3 linked regions of the Arabidopsis thaliana genome follow. The protein of the gene in region 1 interacts with the protein of each later gene in a pairwise test. Each region holds a gene or a part of one and is shown on either strand. Other genes may lie near its edges. The genes, in order: bZIP43, BZIP61 and BZIP34.

The links.
Region 2: the proteins of bZIP43 (region 1) and BZIP61 interact in a two-hybrid assay, tested with the Arabidopsis thaliana proteins (one study listed by BioGRID).
Region 3: the proteins of bZIP43 (region 1) and BZIP34 interact in a two-hybrid assay, tested with the Arabidopsis thaliana proteins (one study listed by BioGRID).

What each region holds. Positions count from the first base shown.
Region 1 is NC_003076.8:15,537,564-15,540,883, forward strand, and holds bZIP43 (basic leucine-zipper 43), read right to left. Parts: upstream 1,327-3,320; 5' UTR 1,240-1,326; coding exon 742-1,239; 3' UTR 578-741; downstream 1-577. Other genes in the region: AT5G38810 (F-box and associated interaction domains-containing protein), read right to left, coding at 3,043-3,320. UniProt on the Arabidopsis thaliana protein: Probable transcription factor involved in somatic embryogenesis. Acts as a positive regulator of BHLH109.
Region 2 is NC_003074.8:21,520,375-21,525,292, reverse strand, and holds BZIP61 (Basic-leucine zipper (bZIP) transcription factor family protein), read left to right. Parts: upstream 1-1,774; 5' UTR 1,775-2,214; coding exon 2,215-2,837; intron 2,838-3,004; coding exon 3,005-3,095; intron 3,096-3,200; coding exon 3,201-3,327; coding exon of another isoform or gene 3,328-3,344; exon of another isoform or gene 3,345-3,627; intron 3,628-3,855; coding exon 3,856-4,004; 3' UTR 4,005-4,319; downstream 4,320-4,918. UniProt on the Arabidopsis thaliana protein: Transcriptional activator.
Region 3 is NC_003071.7:17,646,380-17,650,929, reverse strand, and holds BZIP34 (Basic-leucine zipper (bZIP) transcription factor family protein), read left to right. Parts: upstream 1-1,867; 5' UTR 1,868-2,269; coding exon 2,270-2,844; intron 2,845-3,024; coding exon 3,025-3,115; coding exon of another isoform or gene 3,116-3,145; exon of another isoform or gene 3,146-3,229; coding exon 3,230-3,356; coding exon of another isoform or gene 3,357-3,373; exon of another isoform or gene 3,374-3,552; coding exon 3,553-3,725; 3' UTR 3,726-4,045; downstream 4,046-4,550. UniProt on the Arabidopsis thaliana protein: Transcriptional activator involved in the sporophytic control of cell wall patterning and gametophytic control of pollen development. May play a role in the control of metabolic pathways regulating cellular transport and lipid metabolism.

The sequences.
Region 1 (3,320 bases):
AGATTTACCAATAATCAATAGTGTAATTTAGGTTTTTAAAAAATAGCATTAACTGCTTTCTAAGCCAAATCTTGCAAAACCTCAGTCCATGCACTACCAATACAAGGTACTAAAATAAAATAAAATACAAGGTACTAAAATACTACAGATAAAAGCTCTTCTTTGCTTGACATAATTAGATTTACGAGAGTTTCACACACAAGTACACAACCATGTAAGGTCTTAATTGTTTTTGTTTGCGTTAGATTTACGTATTTGCTTTTCATATTCTTATTATTTTAATCACAATCTTAATTCTTTTCTTAATAATTTTTCAACATAAAAATGCAAATGGAAATGGAAGAAAATAAACCGTTTACGGCTGGTGTATATTTTTTTCAAAGACACTACTTAAGCCAATTTAGAAAGAACAAAATTGGTCATTATAAACGTAAAATTTTAAAGAGAAAAAGAAGAAAGTCTACTGTTAGTAATTGATGCTTGTATTTACATTTTGCAAAAATATTTATGCATGTAATTTTTTTTAAAATTATACTTCAGCAATGTGAATTTTTATCGTTTGTTATGCAAACAATTGTGAAACAATTTCTTACTTCTATTCACGGGCAACACAAGTTTGAAGAACTCTGCTTTAACAATTACTAATTTAGAGTCTTAATTAAATCTTAAGCTGAGACAGATCTCTGGATATACATTTGTTGATACATACTAGAGCCCCAAAAAAATAAAAATAAAAATCATCTATACAACGTCGTCGTCGTCTCTGATGCAAGAGAAAGGACTCTGATTCTGAAGCTGCATATCACTAATCATTTGCTTAAGCTCAGTGGTTTCCTCTTTGAGCTGAACATTCTCTTCAATAACCTTCTCTTGAGACTCTAAAACGCAGTTAAGCTTACGAAGCAGCTGATGATTCTCATCCCTAAGCCACATCACCTGTGACCAAAGCTCATCCACTTGTCTCTGCTTCCTCATACGCGATCTTCTTGCCGATTCTCTGTTAGATATCTTCCTCTTTTGCTTCCTCTCATTTATTATCTCCTTATGATTCTCTTCTGCTTCATCTGAGGTCGAGTTGTTGCTGCTGATCAAACTCATGAACTGTGAAGTGTTCACGCCAGTTTCGAAGCTGAAGAATGGATTAGGGTTTTGTCCGCAAAATGGTGAGGATGTAGGAATATGGGAAAGGTACGAAGGTGGACAACCATGGAGGCTAAAAATGTTGGTGGATGGTTGCATTATCGGTGGAGACTTGGGACGCAAGGTAGGGTTTACTCTTAGGTGATGGAAGAAAAGAAAGATTGTAGGATTTAGGGAATTGTGATGAATGTTTGGTGTGTGTGGTGAGAAGAGGTGTTCATATAGACTAGTAGGGGGACAATTGTGGACCATGGTTTCTTCATTTGGGTCAAACCAATATAAAAGCATCTAACAATCATGCAGCTAAAACGTGTATTTATATAACTTTATTTATTATTTAAAAACACGATCTATTTTTTCACCTATAAAATTATTGAACTACTTAGAACGAAATCTAAATAACTTATTTTTTAAAGCCTGTCTAAGATTTATTAGAAGTTGGTTGAAGTCTTAGGGTGAAAAATGGCTTTGTAAATGAATGATTGGGATTAATTGAGTTTTTCTTTTCTTTCAATGGCTAGGAAACAAATTGTTTTTTTTTTGTTGTGTGGAAATTTCAAATATCTTTCAACTTATTTTTTAAAACCTATCTAAAATTTATGAGAACTTGGTTGAATTTTTGGGGTGGAAAATGGTTGTGTGTAAATGAATGACTGGGAATAATTGAGATTTTTCTTTCTCTCAATGGCTAGGAAACAAATTTGTGTTTTTTTTTTTGGAAATTTAAAATAACTTTCAACTTATTTTTCTGCAAAATAGTAGATAAATAAATTGAACAAACTACTTTTATAATTTGGTCAATTTTTTTCAATTTTGAGTTGAATGAATTAAATCATTTTTTAATAATTTATTCATCTTAAATAGTAAACGTTTGGAGAAATTTCAAAATGTCCATTTTCTAATACCGTACCACCACTTTTTGAAAATGACTTCTATCTAAAATCTTTTAAATATTTTATTATATTAAGCTTGGTTTAATATATATACATGTAAAATTACACATTTAGAAAAAAGTAATTAAAGCATATAATATTTTATAGAAGTGTCGGATTGACACATATAGCAATCATGCGTAATTCTTCATTTTCGTCGTATTTTGCTAAAAGTTCGACCTATGTAATTAGATTCTGTTAGGGGAAGGGTGGTGATTTTGAAATTTAACCTTTTGAAACCCAAGAAACATATGGGCTTTTATAACCATCCAAATTTATATTATCTTTAATTTTTTTTTAGTGTTGTTAGAAAAAAAAAAAAATATTACGTGATGGACTTAATTAGTACTAGAGGAAAGCATCTCATCAAGAAGAACAGAAGAAGCATAAACAGACCTATGAATGAGACCTTGAAAAGGTTGAGAGAAAACAAATTTAAGAAGCTAAGTGTCCAATTCTTTTGCATATTTGATGTGTTCGTTTAGTTTTAATAAAGCATAAATCTTTGTTCATAAGATCTCAACAGAAAATGAACTACAAATCTCTAATCAATCTACAGTGGTATTCATATCACATGACTTTCTTGTTTTAACATCAATTCTGACAATTCAACTATTCAATCATTGACCACATCGGTTTCTTAACAATCAAGTTATTGGATATAGAGAGCCCTCTTCACCTAGGTAAAACCTCATAGGCCTTTTGATAACCATACAAAAAAATATTAGTTTGCTCTCACTCTACGCCAACAGGGTGATAAAGCTCACACGTAAGTAACCTGTAAATGACAAGTAACACTCTTAACCAAAATAGCTTGACTCGTTGGCTTGGCTTTCAAGATAAGATCCTCACTCTGAGTTACCTAGTAAATCGTACTTGTTCTGCAGGAGGATTGCCTGCTTGTTCTTTACATGTCGACGTTGTTGTGGTTTTGACTTGAGTTGCTTCGAATCGTCAATACTAAGATCCTCTATATAGTCAAAGGCAAAAACATTGCGAAAATATTGTCGTTTCTAATCCGATTGACCTTAATCTTCGGCAAGGAGTAGATATACTGTGACCATTCCTGTTTCTCAACATCCTCTAGAACCCACACACACAACTCACGGGGATGTCCATCACCAGCATCACACTCCAATTTAGTCACACCTAATTTACCCTTGTAGTTTATAAATTCTCTATGAAAATTAGAGAAGTCTTTTCCATCAAGAAACTTGAATTTCTCAGACCTAACATTAAAGGAAACTA
Region 2 (4,918 bases), on another chromosome or scaffold:
TTTTAATTTGAACTGAAATATTTGATACCACACTAAAATATCTCTCTTTAACTAACCATATGGTTATATACTACACTTTGCAACTAATTGATAACTATATTTATTTTAGTAGTTTTATTTTCGTTGTACCAAAGCCGTCCAATACTAATTGATTAAACTGTTATTTCAGTTTCTATAAGTTCTCGTTGAATCCCTTAAACTTGTAGCTTTTTTATTTGTTTTTGCCGGGCTTGTTGTAGAAATTTCGAAGATTGGTCTTATGTAGAAAATTAAAGAGAATATTCTTAGAGTACTTTGTTAGAGGACCACCATTGATGTTTGGATTGTTTGTAGTAAATATTGTATTAAATTGAATTGTATATTTTAAATAAATAGTGAAACAATAGACAGTTCACAGTTGGAACATAAACTAAGAAATAATTTCATACGTTCTAATATATATATGCATACAATTTTGTTTTAACGTAACTACTTGTATTTTAACATATATACATAATAGCAAAAATATTCTTAATCAAACCAAACTTGTCTTACATATTTTTTATTTTGTCATCTCATTAATCTATTTTTGAAAAGTTTGTATTTGTGAGATTTCTATATATTTTTATGGATATACAAAGTGAATTTAATCCAATAAATGATCTTCTGTTATAAAAACAATGAATCAAATGGATTGGCCTACATGAAGCTTTGGTTTGGGGACAAAGAAAATATAGAGAGGGAAAGGTCTCACAAGTCACAAAATATTATACAAAAAAATAAAAACAAAGCACATGTTCTGACACATGAACATGGTTCCTTCTTCACTTCTCCTTTTCTTTCTAACAGCTCATTTCTCTCTATCTCTCCACTCTTCCACTACTCTCAGCCTCCCACTCAATTCATTCTTCTCTTTCCCTTGCATTTTATAATGCTTTTTGCCTTTTTTTCCCTTATATTAGCATTGCATTGTCATAAATTCCTATGTATATGTTACAACTGATGATTGATTTTCTTGTTCTTTAATTGTTTATAGTATATATATAGAGCTAGGGAGCTAATTTATGTATATATGTATAGACATGGCTTCTCTATAAGCTTAATTGTACATGTGAAGGACAGAAAGAGAAGTGTATTAATTGTATTGGACTATTCTTTCTTTGTCATTTGATAAAGTGGCCACTCTTATGCTATCTACTCATTAATGTCCATACACACTGACTCCTAAACTTACGTATGATGATCTTTGCATTTACATGTATAGTAATCCTGCATGCGTTAAACTAGTTAAACAAGAGTAAAAAAGTTGTGTCTGCTAGACAATGACTCAAATGATAACATTTTAACCAAAACATTTGCTCACCTCCATAAGAAGTTGAATGTTTCGATAAAGCTTATATAGGTTAAATCTTAAAAAGTTAGAAACTAGACTTAATTACAAGTGTTTCTTGAATCGATTAGTGGTATATATACATAACATTCATATGATTTCCATATAATTTAAAAAGAGGAAATACGAGAGGGCATCCGGTAGCATCTGCCCAAGTGTCAGCTCGCCGGACGGCCAGAAAACAAGGCGGGGGAAATGATCAAACGGCGGAGAAAGGAGGAGAGAAAGGCGGGAGCATGTGGAAGAGCAAAACATAAGAATGTTTCCAAAGGATAAATAATATCATACACTGTTTTGAAAAGAAAAAGTCTCTCTAATAAAATAAGTTTAGCAAAACAAAATTAAGGGAGAGGGGTTCACTAAGAGCACGTGCTGCCTGATTCTCCATTTGCTCTTAAGAGAGACCTCAAATCTTTTTAATTTTTCTTCCGAAACAGCTGTTTCATAGCTGTCCGATCTCTCTCGCCCCCCATGTGACCCCACTCAGAGATATAAACCCTTTGAGATCGAATCCATTTATATAATTTTATTTCGCTTTATTCTATTATAAAAATTATCTTATCTCATGCATCCCTCTCTCTTTCTATCTCTTACTTCTGTTTTGTATAACTACTCTTTGTTATACATAGCCATTTTAGTTACTCTGGTTTGTTTCTCATCCCATTCTCTCTCTCTTTCTCTAATGGTTCTTAATCTGTTTTAGCATTTTGATCATCTAAAACTTTCAATTTCTCTCTTGATCCTCACTTGAATTTTTTGTTGTTTCTCTCAAATCTTTGATCCTTTCCTTTGTTTTTCATTTGACCTCTTACAAAAAAATCTGGTGTGCCATTAAATCTTTATTAATGGCACAACTTCCTCCGAAAATCCCAACCATGACGACGCCAAATTGGCCTGACTTCTCCTCCCAGAAACTCCCTTCCATAGCCGCAACGGCGGCAGCCGCAGCAACCGCTGGACCTCAACAACAAAACCCTTCATGGATGGATGAGTTTCTCGACTTCTCAGCGACTCGCCGTGGGACTCACCGTCGTTCTATAAGCGACTCCATTGCTTTCCTTGAACCACCTTCCTCCGGCGTCGGAAACCACCACTTCGATAGGTTTGACGACGAGCAATTCATGTCCATGTTCAACGACGACGTACACAACAATAACCACAATCATCATCATCATCACAGCATCAACGGCAATGTGGGTCCCACGCGTTCATCCTCCAACACCTCCACGCCGTCCGATCATAATAGCCTTAGCGACGACGACAACAACAAAGAAGCACCACCGTCCGATCATGATCATCACATGGACAATAATGTAGCCAATCAAAACAACGCCGCCGGTAACAATTACAACGAATCAGACGAGGTCCAAAGCCAGTGCAAGACGGAGCCACAAGATGGTCCGTCGGCGAATCAAAACTCCGGTGGAAGCTCCGGTAATCGTATTCACGACCCTAAAAGGGTAAAAAGGTAATTAACATTTTTATTTACTATTTCCCAAAACCCCAAGGAAGGTCATGCATGCACGTACAGTTTATAATAGTATCTGATAATTCGATACACCGTTTTTATAAAATAGTTAAATTAGTGTCACATCGATAAAATCTAATTTTTGTTTTTGCTGAAATTTTCTACAGAATTTTAGCAAATAGGCAATCAGCACAGAGATCAAGGGTGAGGAAATTGCAATACATATCAGAGCTTGAAAGGAGCGTTACTTCATTGCAGGTAATTAATTTACACACAAAGATATACTATGTTTATTAATGTAAAACAATCTAAATAAAAAGTTTAAATACTGATCAACAAATCATTTAAAATTGTGGAATGAAGACTGAAGTGTCAGTGTTATCGCCAAGAGTTGCGTTTTTGGATCATCAGCGATTGCTTCTCAACGTCGACAATAGTGCTATCAAGCAACGAATCGCAGCTTTAGCACAAGATAAGATTTTCAAAGACGGTAATTTTCTATTTTGAACTTTTTTTCAATTTTCTAACATTGTATAAAATTCTTCTGAATATATTTTTCAGGGATACTATCAAACTATAGAAATTTGTTTGTTTTTTTTTACTATTATTGTCTGAAGTTTCACTAGCTCCATGTATTTAATAGTCACTGACAATATATAGGCTCGACCAATAATTATTCTTTAGTAATATAAACTATATACAAGGAAGTACTTGCGGCAATGCATGCTTCATGATTCATAAAATTACAAACATGAAATATATATTGTCCTGCTTGAATAGATTTAGTAAGGTTTATATATATCTATAGCTAATTATTTTATAACATGGATCTAGCTAGTAATAATGAATCACAAGATCAATAGAGTTTAGTATGATTAATAAGTTAGAACAACTGTCCATGTGTGAACATATATATGAGATAAGTATAGATATTTATGTTAACATGAAACATGTGAGTACTCATTGAATATTTAGGTTTATTGACAACACTGATAATTGTAAATTTTAATATTTTCAGCTCATCAAGAAGCATTGAAGAGAGAAATAGAGAGACTTCGACAAGTATATCATCAACAAAGCCTCAAGAAGATGGAGAATAATGTCTCCGATCAATCTCCGGCCGATATCAAACCGTCCGTTGAGAAGGAACAGCTCCTCAATGTCTAAAGCTGTTCGTTCACTAAGATCTTTCTTTTCATGGCGAAAAGATTCTTGACTATAAAACCTCTTTGTGTCAAGAAATTAATTTATCAAAGAAGATGGCCTTTTTTATTTGATCTAATCACATTTTTTTAAGTTGTGATGAATTTGCTTTTGATGTATCTGTTTTTTTTTTTTTTTCTTATGGAGTGGGAGGGGGAAAGTGGGAATGATATGTAAAAAGAACTTAGCTGATTTGTTGTTTATTCAATTTTTTTGTTGGAGTGTCTATGCATTGTGTACTAATTGATATTTTTTCCGAATGATTTTTTTTTCCATCAAATTTAGGGTAATCGAATAGTTAAAGATTCCCTCTTTTCACATGGTTCAAATTTTGATGTGTGCCATCATCCATATAATAAACAAATATAACAATTTATATACTTGTTTAACTTCTAGTGACAAAAAGAACAGGATTTGTGAACCATGAAATGTTAACACATAGTTTCAAAATTTATATTTGAAGTGACTGAAAGCGATTTCTCATTCCTTAAAAACTCGTACGATTATTTCATTGTTAAGAAAAAATCAATTAATTATGATGATTTAATAATATTTTAACCTCAGGTTTTTTTCATTTTTTGTCCTTCGAAAAAATCAAGTGAAAATGTAAGGTATTACTAGCTAATGTAGCCACTTCCTTACGTAGGGCCTGGACATTTAGATGATGTCATATAGAATCTAGATGATATATCAATATATACATATATCAACGAATACAAACACATCACGAATGTCATACATTGTATAATTACAGACAAAGAAAACAAGATTAGTGAGTTTTATTTTCTTATGAATCAAACCTTTATGAGTAATTAGGGTCAAAGTGGGTCAAAATCTGAAAATGTGGGGTGAAAAAAGGGAAAGAAAAGGGAGAACGT
Region 3 (4,550 bases), on another chromosome or scaffold:
ACAATTCTAATGGCCCAGTATTTTAGCAGCCGTTTCTTCTTGCTTCTCCACGCTTACCTTCAATCATTGCACTTCTTTCTTCTGCTTCCTTGTGAGTCACTGAAACCTAATTCATCCTCTCTGCATACTCCTGCTTTCTTCTTCTCTAGTTCCTCCTGCAGTGAAACAAATTCACAAACACTTCACTTCTCATTGTTCTCAATCACATTGAAACAGTATCAGCTCTCTATTGCTAAGTTTATTTTACCTCCATTTTCTTGAGTTGCACTTCGACAGCTGCTTTCTTCACTTCTCAACGGAAAACTAGTCACATAGTTTAGTTTAAGGTCACCTCTAACGAGTGAAGCAGACCAAGATTTCGCCAGTGCAGATTCTGTAAGAATTTTCATTCTACTAAAACATAAACAGCAATATGCCAAGCCTTAACACAAAGAGTGTCACAGGTAAACACATACAGAGCAAATGCATGATTCTGTCATAAAGCTTCAAATTTAGCTGTAATATATTACCTCCATGGATGTGTATTGAATCGTAAATAGGCCGCTTCTCTCTCGAAACAAGAACTAGCAATGGTAGCCTGATGTCAACGTATGTTGTATGAATCAAGTCCCCAGTGCAACTTGAAGGTAAAAGAACTTCTTCACACTGTTAGGTCGAAAGGTGAAACTTAAAGCTTATGTACTAGACAAGGCGATGGAACTTCTTCACACTGTTAAGGACAGACTTAGAGGTAAAAGAAAAACTTGAGTAGCTCATGGAGTTTAGCTAGAGGTTGGTCGCTAAGATATTTGTAAACTGAAGATGCTAATGGTTATATTAGGGATGATGATCTTGAAGGAATTATTTGGAAATGACATAACAGATGATGTGTGATTTCCTCCTTTAAAACAAAATCGTTTGGTTTTGATAATCATGAAAATATTTCTATGAGATTACTGTCCGACACACATTTAGAGAAATAATTCACTGACTATATATTCCGTAAATACATGTACATATAACTTTCTCAAGTTTGATTTATAATTTTAACATTTCAACAAAACAAAAAAATATAGATTCCGTTAAATATTCCTATCGATCCGGAAAAGTAAAAAATTGGACAGACAAAATATCCAAAATTATACGATTTAAGAGAGAAAAAAAAAGTAGCAAGTGTCCTACATGTGGGTGTGGTCTGGGACAAAGCAAATATAGAGGGGAAAAAAAGAGTACAGAAAACAAATCACATGGACTCACACATCAACATTATACTCTTCACTCTCTCTCCACTCGTCCACTACCCTACTTTCTCCATGCATTGTTTAGCCCTCCTCATAGCAGTGATGGTAACAAGATAATCCATTACCATGGTGAAAGATATGTGATAAATAAGCTAAGTCGTCGGATTTGTTTTCCAATAAATTAAGTCATGTTTATCAACTCGACTTAATTCTATTATTCTATATATAGATGATACTGTGTGCTATTAACTCATGTATTCATTGTACTTGCTTGACGTAGGTTTACATGTACCAAAATTATTAATTGACACATATGATTTGCAACAAATACGAGATATTGCATTTACATGAACCTATCGAAAAACCATTCATAAGAAAGAAACGTATTAACCATTCAACAAAAGAAAGGTCACAAGAACACGTGCTTGCTTGATTCCTCCTCCAAATCTCTTTACATAGATTAAAAAGAAAAAAACCAGTGGAGGAGAATTTCCAGTTATACCGTTGAGACCTTTAGCCTCACTTCTCAAGACAGCTGTTTCATAGCTGTCCGATCTCAATATCTCCCTCCATGTGGCCCTACTCAGAGAGATAAATTAAACACTTTGATCACATCGAATTTATTATGTTCTTTCATAAGATTTTACATAATATATATCTCATGTATATATATATATATCTCTATTTATCTCCTTCATTAATTCTGTTTTTTTACTTCCTTCTATTTATATAACTATCATTTGTTAAACATAGCCATTTTGGTTACTCTTGTTCCGTTTTCTTCTTTCTTCCTCTCCTTCCTTTTTTCTTTTCTCTATCTTCTTCATATGGTTCATGACATTGATCTAATTCCACTTCCCATTTGTCTCCACATTTCGTTTCTTTCCTTTGTTTTTTCATCTAGGTTTTTGGTTTTCTGAATTGGATTTACGTTAGTTTATCTTGTACTTATTAATTAAGGTTTTTTTTTTTTCCTTCCTCAATCCTGTAAATTCAGATTTGCTTTCTTTGGTAATCTTTTGGATCAAGATCCATCTATTTTTTCTTCAATGGCACAACTCCCTCCTAAAATCCCCAACATGACACAACATTGGCCTGATTTCTCTTCCCAAAAGCTCTCTCCTTTCTCTACCCCAACCGCAACCGCTGTCGCCACCGCTACAACCACCGTACAAAACCCCTCATGGGTCGACGAATTCCTCGACTTCTCAGCGTCTCGCCGTGGCAACCACCGTCGTTCCATCAGCGACTCTATCGCATTCCTCGAAGCTCCAACAGTCAGCATCGAAGACCACCAATTCGACAGGTTCGATGACGAACAGTTCATGTCGATGTTCACCGACGACGACAACCTTCATAGCAATCCTTCCCATATCAACAACAAAAATAACAATGTGGGGCCCACGGGATCTTCCTCGAACACATCCACGCCGTCCAATAGCTTCAACGACGATAACAAAGAATTACCACCGTCCGATCATAACATGAACAATAATATCAACAACAACTATAACGATGAAGTCCAAAGCCAATGCAAGATGGAGCCAGAAGATGGTACGGCGTCGAATAACAATTCCGGTGATAGCTCCGGCAACCGGATTCTCGATCCCAAAAGGGTTAAGAGGTAACAAAATTATTCAAGAACATGCATGCACGTAAAAATATCAACTCATCAGATTTGATTACGATGCACCAAATATTTTGAAAAATATGATTACTGAAGATTAGCGTCACATCACTAACCATATAATGTTTTTTAAATTGTTAACAAAAATAAAATAAATATTTCTGAATGTTTCTACAGAATATTAGCAAATCGGCAATCAGCACAGAGATCAAGGGTGAGGAAACTGCAATACATATCAGAGCTCGAACGTAGCGTCACTTCGTTGCAGGTACATTATACAAACATTCATAAATCATAATCTTTTAATTATTCAAATAATTTCATGATTATAAATTTATTATGACCTTAAATCATTTTTGTGGCAAAAAAACTGAAATTAAAGGCGGAAGTGTCAGTGTTATCGCCAAGAGTTGCATTCTTGGATCATCAACGTTTGCTTCTTAACGTTGACAACAGCGCTCTCAAGCAACGAATCGCTGCTTTATCTCAAGACAAGCTTTTCAAAGACGGTATTAATCTCATGTAACTTTTGGATTTAATTCTCATGTAAATTTTTTGGATAATTATGGAATTAATATATGTGTGTTTATGAGATTTTTCATTTTCTCGTCGATGCATTCAATTATCACTGACAATATATGAGCACGCCCAATAATTTTCTCTCACTAGCTAATATAACATCAAAAAACTAATATTATTTTGCAGCACATCAAGAAGCATTGAAGAGAGAAATAGAGAGACTTCGACAAGTGTATAATCAACAAAGCCTCACGAATGTGGAAAATGCAAATCATTTATCGGCGACCGGAGCCGGTGCTACTCCGGCCGTCGACATCAAGTCGTCCGTTGAAACAGAGCAGCTCCTCAATGTCTCATAAATTAACCATCATGCATCATCATCAACATTTCTCTCTTTTAGCTTCTTGGCAAAAGTTCTTGACTATAAAATCTCTTTCGGGTAAGAAATTCAGGAGATATACATTTTTTATTCTAATCACATTGTTTTTAAGTTGTGATGAATTCAGTTTGATGTATCTTATTTATTTTGTTTATGTCGTCTTTTTTTCTTGGGGTTGATGGAAGGGAATCATCAATTGTTGTTTGTACAAAGAACTAGTTGAATTTTTTTTTTTTTTTTTTGGGAAGTGTACAGAGATTTGTGAACTAATTAAGATTTATTCGGAATACAGTAGTTTATTTTCCATCATTGTCTACTCTAAATCATATTTCTTCTCGCATAACATTATATTGATTTTAATAAGACAGATTAAACAAGAACTATGGTTAATTCACTAAAAAAATAGTCTCTATCTCTGATTATTTCTATTCTAAAGTGATCTAGAGTATCAACAAAAATAATTGTTTTGAACGGCTAAAAGTAATCTATAGCTATTAAACGCCTGTTTACACCCTTTTTCTGTCTCAACGGTTTTTAAAAATAGTAGTATCAACATAGGAAAATGTCATTTAACGACATTGAACTATTTTAGGTAATAAAACAACAATATGTTGACGTCATACAGAATCTAGATGGTAAAATCATATGGTACATCCACTCACGTAAGAAAAAGACAAATGAAGAAAGTATACAAAAATGTACTGTGGTCTAAAAATAAAGAAATAAGTAATAGCAGACCAAAACTCTGGGATTTTTAATAATCACTGATATTTGGTAACTTTTGTGATCGTTTATGTTTAGGAGT